Linked DNA regions of Coturnix japonica. The protein of the gene in region 3 interacts with the protein of the main gene of each other region in a pairwise test. Links are inferred from orthologs where the notes say so. Each region holds a gene or a part of one and is shown on either strand. Other genes may lie near its edges.

The links.
Region 1: the proteins of RBFOX2 (region 3) and RNF8 interact in binary tests that used the Homo sapiens proteins (3 or more experiments, as listed by UniProt). The two-hybrid records come from large-scale screens. The link is inferred for Coturnix japonica from reciprocal best matches to the Homo sapiens genes RBFOX2 and RNF8.
Region 2: the proteins of RBFOX2 (region 3) and BOLL interact in binary tests that used the Homo sapiens proteins (3 or more experiments, as listed by UniProt). The two-hybrid records come from large-scale screens. The link is inferred for Coturnix japonica from reciprocal best matches to the Homo sapiens genes RBFOX2 and BOLL.

What each region holds. Positions count from the first base shown.
Region 1 is NC_029518.1:27,120,532-27,124,181, forward strand, and holds part of RNF8 (E3 ubiquitin-protein ligase RNF8), read right to left. Parts: intron 3,341-3,650; coding exon 2,600-3,340; intron 1,633-2,599; coding exon 1,570-1,632; intron 842-1,569; coding exon 752-841; intron 1-751. UniProt on the Homo sapiens protein: E3 ubiquitin-protein ligase that plays a key role in DNA damage signaling via 2 distinct roles: by mediating the 'Lys-63'-linked ubiquitination of histones H2A and H2AX and promoting the recruitment of DNA repair proteins at double-strand breaks (DSBs) sites, and by catalyzing 'Lys-48'-linked ubiquitination to remove target proteins from DNA damage sites.
Region 2 is NC_029522.1:8,896,128-8,899,777, reverse strand, and holds part of BOLL (protein boule-like), read left to right. Parts: intron 1-276; coding exon 277-331; intron 332-3,025; coding exon 3,026-3,101; intron 3,102-3,650. UniProt on the Homo sapiens protein: Probable RNA-binding protein, which may be required during spermatogenesis. May act by binding to the 3'-UTR of mRNAs and regulating their translation.
Region 3 is NC_029516.1:47,483,303-47,486,952, reverse strand, and holds part of RBFOX2 (RNA binding protein fox-1 homolog 2), read right to left. Parts: intron 1,819-3,650; coding exon 1,765-1,818; intron 1,629-1,764; coding exon 1,536-1,628; intron 958-1,535; exon of another isoform or gene 890-957; intron 477-889; coding exon 344-476; intron 1-343. UniProt on the Homo sapiens protein: RNA-binding protein that regulates alternative splicing events by binding to 5'-UGCAUGU-3' elements. Prevents binding of U2AF2 to the 3'-splice site.

The DNA.
Region 1 (3,650 bases), on a different chromosome or scaffold from region 3:
TTTGTAACCTCCCTCCATTTTGTAGTTACAGCAGTACTGAGAATATTCCTGTCCATAACAGAGTGCTTACAAGAAAGAACAGCCACTGTTAAAGTCCCCTTCAATCTAAAGAATCTACAAACTGGATCAATCTTCATATTTTGTTGTTTAGGGTTAAATTAGGCTTCCGGCATCTGCTACATCTTCTAAGAACTATCCTTAAAGCAACAGTTGCAAAGCTGACAGAAGAAAACAAAGCAAATAGCCAGAGGAATGAAACATCATAATTTCCAAGTGTAGAACACAGCACAAGATCACTTTAATTATCTTCCACTCATCATCTTGACAGAGGCAGGAAGAAACATGGCTTATCTCATTCGTTATTAAAATGTTACGTTGTCTCAGTCCCGTGCTCCCTTGTTGGACTGCTGGAACATGCTGCAGTTTCACTCCAGTCCACGCAAACTGAAAATGAAGCACCCACTTTTCCAATACCCTTGTTTGGTTTTCTTTTAAAGAAAAGAATGGGTCAGCTTCTCCTGCACAACATTATTCAGATGTCCTGTGCTTTCTGTATCTGGTAATAACTCTGCAATACTACTCCACAAACAGAGCAAAGAGTATATCTTATACAGAGTGAATCAGCCGCCAGACCAAAATACAAGAGCTTTTCAACACAGAAGGCAGCACACAGCCAAAGCAAATGTTAAATCATTTATTCTGCCACAGCATATCATATTCCAATTACGGAGAACTTAGTTTTATTACTTACTTTGGTTTCCTCCAGTTCTTTATTCTTGGCTCGAATTATCTCCTCAAAATCTTTTTTACTACGGCTCAGTTCTTCCATCAAAGCATGATGCTGTAATGATACCATGATACCAAAAATAAGAGTGTTATTATAAGCTACCCTATTAAATACACATGGATCTAATCATGAGGTTCAGCACACTCATTTCTCCTTTCTTCTCCTGTAAGAGCACCAGCTCTATATAAGCCAAGGTGTTAAGGAAGTTCACCCAACACCTACAACTTACTTTACATTTCATTTTGCTTTTCTGGTCACTGTCTTGAGTGCATCTGTTACATTTGAGTATCAAGGAGTATCTGACACACAAGTGTCACAAAAGCCTGTCAGAAGGGCTGGTTGAATCTCTTTTTGGATTAGCCTTAAAACCTTTTAGACAGAAAGCCTAGGAAAACTAAGCATTTGACAATCTCTTTCAGAAACATTCCTAACCAAAACTAGTCCTTTTTCCTGTGGTTTAAAACTACCAAGGCAGCTTTCCCAAAACAGATAACCAGAGGACAGACCTAGCAAAAATATCCACCAGTATGTGGACCGGATTCAAGTAGAACCACTACACTACTTAACACTTTCTAAAAGCACAGATTCTTGTGTTATCTGCTGATAAATAACAACTCTCAAGAAGGGAGGCCTGTCTCTTCCTAGCAATAATTTAGTCTGTAGAAGATAAAGACCACTCAAAATGCACTTTAGACACAGTCCTAGTCTTCCACCAAGAGTGGAAGCAGTAAGATTTAAGTATATGAGTTCCATATTTAGACCAAGTAGATTTAATTACTTGCCTCTTGCAGAACCTGGACCAGCTGCTCCTTCAGATTCTCTTCCCCATCCTGCCCTTTTACTCCCTGAAAAAAAAAATAAAAAAAAAAAAATCAAACACCAAAACTAGACATTCTTGCAGTAAAGCAATTATTGGAGGAAGAAAAAAAAATACTTGAAGATACCACGGGAATGAAAAGAACCATTTTGCACATTTAGAGGATATAATTAAAGCAACAAAACTGATTTTCAGCAGAAACTGAAAAGGCCTACTGTAGAGATTCAAGTGTACTACTGAAATTACAGCTCCCATTTACTGTGAAGTGCTAAAATGAATGTATCACTTACAGTTCCATACTTGGAACAACTCCATGTTACTCTAGCTCTGAAGACACTGCAATGTTCACAGAAGCCAGGAAGCTGGCAATAGCTTACACATGAGAAAAAGTTGAAGCTCTCTCTCTGAACACATTTAAATAGGCCAGACAGAGTTACAGCTTCAGGTGAACTTCCCTTTATCCTAAGCACACAACTCCAAACCTCCTGTACTTCTGATACAGTATTCTGCTTTCAGCAGCAGACTTTAAAGGAAGTAACTGATAAATCAGGTAAGTAACTCTCAGACGAATCCTTACTTCCCTTGAACCAGATTTCAAGTAGAGTCAAACAGAAAGATAGACTTGTAGCTTCCTATCTAAAACAAGTTATCAGCATCCACACAGTGCTAGAAGGCACTTGCGGGTAGCAAGAAGAGACTGTTTTTCTCCTAATAAAGACAAAACAAAAAAATCAACAACAAAAACCCCTCCTTCCTCAGACTCTGAATTAAGACAGGCAAAAAATGATGCACTTGCTTGAAAAGGAAATAAATTCCCCACGTGAATTTAGCATTAATTCAGAAAAGCTGTATACTAAGAAAAAAATCCCATTTAACGTGAACGCTTTTTAACGTGTCCTCTTTGTAACCCACAGAGGGTCAGAGTTTTAGTTTCGTAATTGGAAAAAAATATATATCTCAAAACACACAGACTGAAATGATTACCACCATCATACCTCTAGCTTCTGCTTCTCTTTGGAGAATGTCCTCTCCAGCTCTTCCACCTGCTGCTGATGCTGTACTTGTTCTGTGCACAGTTTGTCCTGCAACTCTTGCAGTTCCTTTTCCATTGCTAGGATCGTCTTCTGAGCAGCCTTCCTGCGCTTCTGCTTCGCATTCAGAACTGCTGTCTGTTTCTCCTGCACTTTGACTTTTAATTTCTTTATATCTGTGAGATTTTTCCTCAGCTTTTCCAGGCCAGTCCATGACTGAGAAAGAGCGGAGTGTTTCTGGTCCTTGTGAGCAACAGCCACAGCTTTCTCAGAGCAATCAAGGCTACCACGCACTGGACCACCATCGTCCTCACTTGATCCAGGAGAGGGCAGCCTGACAACCCCCTTGTCTGTCAACTGTTCTGCCTCTCCTACTCTTCCCAATGTATTACTCAAAGGTTCTCCATCACACGACACTCTGTCCCTTTTGGATCTGGAATTTGAAGGGCCTTCTGATCCACATGTCTCCGATTCTTCCAAAGTAAATTTACGTTTAGGTCTTGAGGTCCTAGCTTTCCCCAGGTCACTCCTTTGGGCTAAAAAGGGTTTGATTTTCTCCCACTCCTCTTTAATTACTTCATACTCAAATTCAGCAGTCTCTCTGTTTTCCAAAGGCACTCCCAACTGGATACGGTCTCCTTCTGCTATAGGATAGGTTCTTGAAGGATCCAGGCGCTGTTTATTAAGCCAAACTCCATTTAGACTCTGAATACAAAGAATCAGCAAGGTTCAATATACAGTTACAAAGTCATCTGCAAGTTATTTCTGGCAACTGTAAACATATCCAGTCTCTGCAGTATTGCAGTCAGAACAAGCCACCTCTTTAAATAAACCTTGCAATTTCCAACTTAATGGTTCAGTGTCCCATTTATTAAATCAATGCATTATATTATTTACCTTGTGTTATTACTCCACTGCAGATTTCTGTGTGCATGCACTAAGAACAAAATTAATATACGCACTTGTGCAGATGGAAAAGAATTAAGTCTAAGGGAAAGAAACTACCCAAAAGCTT
Region 2 (3,650 bases), on a different chromosome or scaffold from region 3:
ACCAGTAGCCCAGCAGGTTTTGCTTAGCTGTTTAGGTGAACTACTCATTCGCTGCATGGAAACAATGATATGTGACCATGTATCTAAACATACTAGAAAGTAGGCTACAATGAGGTTTATTAACAAATCAAAGCTACAGTTGTTACTACAGTCTCTATTTCTACAACTGATTTTTTCCTATTCCCCTTCCCTTCTAATACCATTACTATATGGAAAGTATTAATGTGCAATATATGAAATTACGATCATCAGAGACTTAGCTCTCTTTTTATTTAGGTATGGTTTCATTACTTTTGAAACTCAAGAAGATGCACAGAAGATACTACAAGAGGTGAGTAATATTCCCCATTATGATTCCCTTATAAATAATTTATTTCATGGGGGACATAAAGTATCTCTGGTTTTCCAACCATTTTCTGTTGGTCTACATGGATTGGTAGGTCTGTTAAGATTGGTCATTCTGTCTTCCTACAGTATAGTTGAAGAAACACTTAGAGAGCTAGAGATCTAAGATAGCTTCTTATGAGGAAAAGCTGAGGGAGATGGGCTTACATGGGTTGGGGAAGAGATGGCTCTGGGGAGACCTCAGTGTGGCCTTACAGTACTTTAAGGGAGTTTAAGCACGAGGTGGACAGTCTTTATACATGATCTGAAAGTGATAGGACAAGGGGGAGTGGCTTTAAACTGGAAGAAGGTAACCTTAAGTTAGGTATTAGGAAGAGGCTTTTTACTAAGAGGGTTTTGAGGCTGCCCAGAGGAGCTGTGGATGCCCCATCTCCAGAGGCATTCAAGGCCACGTTGGATGGGGCCCTGGGCAGCCTGATCTAGTGGTTGGCAGCCCTGCCCATAGCAGGGGATTGGAACTATATGATCTTTAAGGTCCCCTCCAGCCAAGGCCATTCTATTAAGACAAGAAATGCTCTGAATCTAGAGAAGTGAGCTGTCGTCTGATATTAGAATGCTTTACTTTGGCATGTAGTATTTGCTTTCTTACTCTACATGTGCTCCATACAGTCTGTTCTGGTGCATGCTGATTACTCCTTATCCTTCATTTGCTTTACTAGAAGATGCATTGTTAAGATAAGTTGGAGAAGATAACTGCTTTATTTTATTCTGACATATTTGATCATCGGAGCTGTTGTAGCTCTTCTGAGGAATAAATTTATTAGAGGTCTTAAATAGTCAAGTTCATTTAATGTTATATAACAGTTGCTTTTCTACTTACCCAAGTAACCATCTTGATGTTCCCTCTAGAGCCTCCCTTGAGATAGGATTAACTGTTAGGTGTTTATTAGTTTTTCAGCTCCTACTTTAAAATAACAGACATGGGGTGGGGGGGAGAACAGAAAACAGTATCCAAGGCTTGCAAAATATCTTCTGCCAAATATAAGACAAGATAAAATATTGAAGTACTGAGTCTTTGAATATTTACAGGTTAAAATTCATTTAAAAAGAAATCTTGGGTATTTTCAAAACAAATATGTGGAGCTTGAGTACGCAGACGGGAATGCTGTTTCTTTGTGGTTTTTTTCCCCTTTTTCTCATGGGTTTTATTGTTTTATTTCTGTGAAATAGAAGAATACAGGGGGTATCATTGTGAATGTGGTCCAGAATGTTTGCCTGCACTGTAACTGAAAGGCTGTTCCATGTCAAGTCTTAGTAGTATCCCACTGTATGAGACTGATACCTTTTTGTCTGCAGGACATGTTTTATTTCAAACATCCTGCTATTATGTTGTATTTTTCTTCTGCATCGCACAGCCTCGTTTATCTTTAGGTTAGTTATGATCTAAGCCTTATTTGGGCTATTTCAGTAGATAGTTTCCCAGTTTTAATAGTTTATTATAGCATAAATTATTTATTTTATACTATTGAATTTCTTGTTTATAAATGTCCTACTTCTTGATCATCAATAACATCTTCAGAGTTTTTTTCATAGTGTTTTTCATTCCTCAAAAGTGTTAAATTGCATCTCAAGAACTGGCTGTGTGGGATTTCTTTAGGGTCCTCTTTCCAGTCACGTACTGCTACATCTAATGCTACCTCTTCCCATTTTTCTTACTTTATAGTCACAGCTTCTCCTATTAATCTTTCCTTGTAGCATCACATGTAATTTTTCATGCAGTGCCATATCGAATGCTTTGAAGAAATCTGCACTGATTAGATATATATTTAACTGTGTAAGTCGTATTTAAAAAGGCAGCGTGAATTCTGATGGATCACAGGAATGGAGTATGTTGAGAAGAGTCACCCTGTGTTGTCTGTGGAGGAATGTGGTTGGAGTGAAACTGACAGTAGTTTTTGGGAGGGGAAATTGCTCAGTTTTCAATAGGATTAGTTGGTGTATTTGCAGTAGAGAAATTACACCTGACGCTGAAAACTTTGTGGCATAGTAGGGTAGCAGTTAGGGCTAAGTGGGAATCAGAAGACTGTATAATTTGTTGGTTCTTTGCACACTTTTTTAAGGTATTCTGCTATTAGGACATCTTTTGATTTTTATTTATTTTGTCATTTGTTAGCATGGATGTAAGGAAGGTAACACGGGTTTAAGGCAGTCCCAAGGTCTCACATAAAATTTAAGCTTTTTATTACGTTCAGTCCTTATACTCTGGTCCTTCTTGTAGACTTGTTCTTATAAGTTGCTTTATAAAAACAAGGCTGTAATTATGAAAAAAATAAGTTTATACTTGAAATTGTCCATTTCTAAATATGTTTACTTTTTATTCTAGTAGTAGAAACATGCCTGTATGAGCAGAAGGGTAGAACAAACAAAAAACTGAGAATTAAAGGTAGCTGTTAGTCAGGAGGCTCTATGATGAGTAAGGAATACTTGAGATAAGTAATGGTGGCTTTTATGTATGTGTAGTCTAAGATCAGGTTAAAGAAGAAGCTAATGTGGTTCTTGTTTTGTCAATATGTGTTCTAAATAAGAAGCAGTGTCTCTGGTTTTTGTTGTTGTTTTAAATGCCTTGATCTATGTAAAAAAAACCTAATACTGAGTACTTTTTTTTTTTTTTAAATTCTAGGCTAAAAAACTTAATTACAAGGATAAGAAGTTGAATATTGGTCCTGCAATAAGAAAACAACAAACACGGATTCCCCGTATGTATATTCACTTGCACTTGTCTATTATATATGTCATTGCACATCTCATTTTTAACCAAGATGTGCCTGATCATGTGTTGTTTTAATGCTATAAAGAGAACACAGAATAAATGTGTACCAGTGGATAAATCCAGATTTGGCAAGTCCAGGATTGATCTTCAGAACTTTTTTCTCCTCCTTAGTGTATTGTTTGCTCTCTTGGGATGATGATTTATGTAGGAGCAAGGGGAATGGAATCTTATCATAGTTACATGGCAGAACCTCAGTTCTAAACACTGTCCTCACAAATTGTTCAGCAGACTTTCCTGGTTCTGTGTGTTATTACTAGTTAGTAGCAAAATCCCTCAGAACCATGGCATCTTGCTTTGTTCAGTAGAAACTATAATGAGCGGGTATTTGTTGTCTCCACTAAATTCTTAGGTTTCTGTCCTTTAAAATAAAGGCAGAGTTGCTAAAGGTTCCTTTTCTGGCAAAGAACTGCTTAAACTGAAAGCATACATGAGAGAACTATTGGTCAGGTGGCCAACTATTGGTTTGTTACTTTGG
Region 3 (3,650 bases):
GTAACTTTTTAGGACATCTTAGACCCCTCTTTGCGTCCTTCTCAGTAGTGCTGCAATGTATTGGGTCAATGGATGACAAATACCAGAAGATGAATTGAGAAATTCTGAGAAGGAGTACATCAGCACTTCAGGCTGTTGCAAGTACTGAACATTCTCTCAGGCATGAACTTAATGTAGCAAAATTTAGGACTGCCCCCATTGGATGCCATCGTATGCAGAACACTCTGGCGCTAAGCAAATAGCCTGACTCTCACCATCCAACAATTTTAGTTACGTTTTTGTTAGCCAATTTATTATTTGACACGGTTGTGCAGAGCACTCTGCTCTTGCGACCAATGCTTACCCTGGGTAGGCAGGGATGGCTGTAGGAGGTACTGCCCGGACTGCCCCATAAACCGTCCTTCCTCGGCCCCTCAGGTGGGCTCCCCGAAATGCGGCTGCTGTAGTGGCTGCAGTTGGATAGGGGAAGCCTGGAACTGTAAAGACAGACAAGAGAGAAGGTGAAAAGGATCCCAGCTCCTGCCCAGGGAACAACCGCCTGCTTCAAACAAAGTGACACAAGAGCTCCGCAGCGGTGGGATGTTTTGCATCAATCCTGCGGAGGGGCATGCTTCTAACCCAGCAAGCATCGTATACATACGTCCTGCTACACCATGGCCTTTCAGGGAGGAGGGGTTGCAGAGAGGTTTGGCATGCAAGAGGTTAATGCATTGGCATGCCTCACCCACCACAAACAGGGTCCAAATCCCCCCCTCTGACACCGCCATGCAGTCTGGTTAGAGTCCGAGAAGCGCAGAGAGTTACTATCAATATAGCAGGCGGCTCTTCCAAAACTGCAGAGGCTCTTTAAAATAATTTGTCAAGAGGCCCTTAAAGTCAATCAACTTACATCAGTCTCTTCCCTCCTTTCCCCTCCCACTCTTTGCCACCCAATCCTCTGTATGTTCATTTTAAAGCCTGAAAGACAAGATAGCCCATATAACAGCAGCAGAAACTTCCCATAAAGTGCCAGCTTACTGAGAGCCCCTCTTCATTTAACGTTATTATACTTGATGCTGGCTCACCGTGGAATGACGTGAAGCCCTAGAGGCATCTGCAGACACGTCATGAGTAGGTACCAAGAGGGACAAGTGGAGAGGCATGAACCCAACCTGGTGTGCACCCAGGTGCACACCAAGGGGCCCTGTGCACTCAAAGCTGGACAGCTTGTCTAATATGTACTTTAGGAACTGTCCGTTTGGTTTCTTTGATTCCCAAGGGGCGGAGGGAAATAAAGGGAACGGCCTATTCCTTGCACACACCCTCCCCTAGGTCTGCAGCCTCCTTGTCACATAGATGAACCCATTCATAGTACAGAAAAACTGCAGATGAACGGGTTACAGCCACTGCGCAGCATACTTGGGCTATAGGTAAACTCATTCCCGACAAGACCCATCCTTTCAAGTATATATCGTACAGACCGGAGAAAAGAAGGGAAACAGGTCATAGTTAACTCAAGCACAGTAACAAGAGAGGGGCCAATGGGGGCTACTTACTGATTAAAGGAATGTAAGTGTTAATACCCCCCCTTCCTGACAGGGGCACTGCGGCGTCATTGCCCAGCGAGACATCTGCTTGAAAGCTGGACGCTAATTTAATTTTAAAAAGAATGAAAAAAACAAAAACAAAAACGTAAAAAGGTTATAAAGAAACAGCAAATTGAGAACATAAACAAACACCACTGCAGTTAAATGGCAGAAGTGGAAGTGTCTGCTGAAGCTCTACCTGCATATAACTCAGGGCCGTACACCGCTCCAACCACAGGACTCAACTTCCAACCTGAAACAACAAAGACTGCAGTGAATGCCAGAATCTACACCAAGAGAAGGAGCAGGCAGCGTGGGTACAGGGAACGGATCTTGTGCATGCGCCCCAGCTTCACATGCAGCAGCTCTTTCGAATTTCTGCTTCACCACAATCCCCCTTGGTGTAGATGGAGGCCAACTGCTTTTTTCTAACATCGAGGTCTAGGTGTAGGTTGCTGTACTGAAGGGAACAGCCAAACGCCAGCTGACCTGCAGGAGGGCACTGAGGGAATTGCCAACTGCCTCAGACACGTACTTGCCGCGAGCACCGCACAGACCTACATTCCCTGTGTGAACCATGCTGTCAGCTCCTCCACGCATTCACGTGGATCCAAAAACCTCTCCGAAGCCACAGGGAAGTCAATTTACACCTTTAAATTCTCAAATCACCTCTCTGTCATATTTGCTAGAGATCTAAAAAGCATCAGTGATTGAGATTTCCTCACTAACTGGATTGCACGACTGCACTGCAAAAAAAGCAATTCACTCTCCTCATCTCACATTTGCTCCTCTCCGTGTTATTTTAGAGTTTCCTATCATCTTTACGCTCCTTTCCAGATGAAAGCCTTCCCAGAGAACTGGTTTTAATATCATCTGGATAACTGGCAAGAACTGAAGTCATCAACACAAAACACACAGGAGAATAATGCTTAAAGGAGCCACCACTGGCCTGCCACTGTGGAAGGGGAGTGAGGAAGAGCACGTTCCCCTGTCAGATCTAGAAACCTGTCTGCCATCCCTACCAGCTTCCTCTTTGGGCACACAAAGATGGGTGTAGAACTAACAACGTGATCTGGGCTGGCATGGAAAGAGGAGGGAAGACTGTATCTGCTCAGCTAGCAATCACACAACTATTTCTATTGAAAAAGATTCCAACCTCTCCTCTATCTAGCTTTAGGAGTCCTGATACACACACTGCACTTTCACCACTCCTACTCAGCCTAGAAACCTCATGAGGTGCAGCCCATCAACACCACTCCCCCATGTGAACCAGTGAGATGCAATGCATGCTTCCTCTGTGAGTGTGGGCAAGCTGTCCTGCACTGCACACCTTGCTGGCAAACACTAATGCAAGTGATAACAATAACTGGATTGGGATCGGCCCTGTGACACTGAAACAATTGTACCACCACTTGCTAGCATGCCTTATGCTTGGCCTAATACCGAGTCCCTTGCACAGTTTTAAAGCAAACACCGCAGGCTGCTAAGGCACAATATTCCTGTTACCACGTTTCCCAAGTCCTAAGACCAGGTTTTGATACCAAACAGCCATACACAATTTCTGTCCTTCCTCTCATGCGCATGTAACATGGTTGTACTGCCTTTCACTATAAGATTTCCTAATTCCTTTCAAATACTAAAAGCCAGAATCCCAACCTTTCTGCCTGTCCCTGCTTCCCCAGTTCTACAACCAAAAAAAACCACCAACTATATGATCTGCAAGGAGCCACACAACAACTCAGGAGCAGAACCACAAAAAAAAATCTTTATTTTCTTGTTTCTGAATCTTAGGTTGTAATTAGAAGAGATTCTTGCACAAGCAACTACCTATGCAACAAGCTTCCTGCTTGTTGAAGCTGTTCAGGAACATTTTCAGGCCAAGAAGAATTTTTCCTGCTTGGCTCAGGACTAAGATTGAAATTCAAAATGCTTATCAAAGCAGCATTCAGTTCAGACAGGAGAAGAATGACTTTTTAATGCTATATATGTGCCTATGCAGTAAAATCACTGCACAGACATAAGAACCTAGATAGCCCAGTAAAACAGGGGCTTCATCGCCCAAACAACTTGGTCATTCTCTATTCA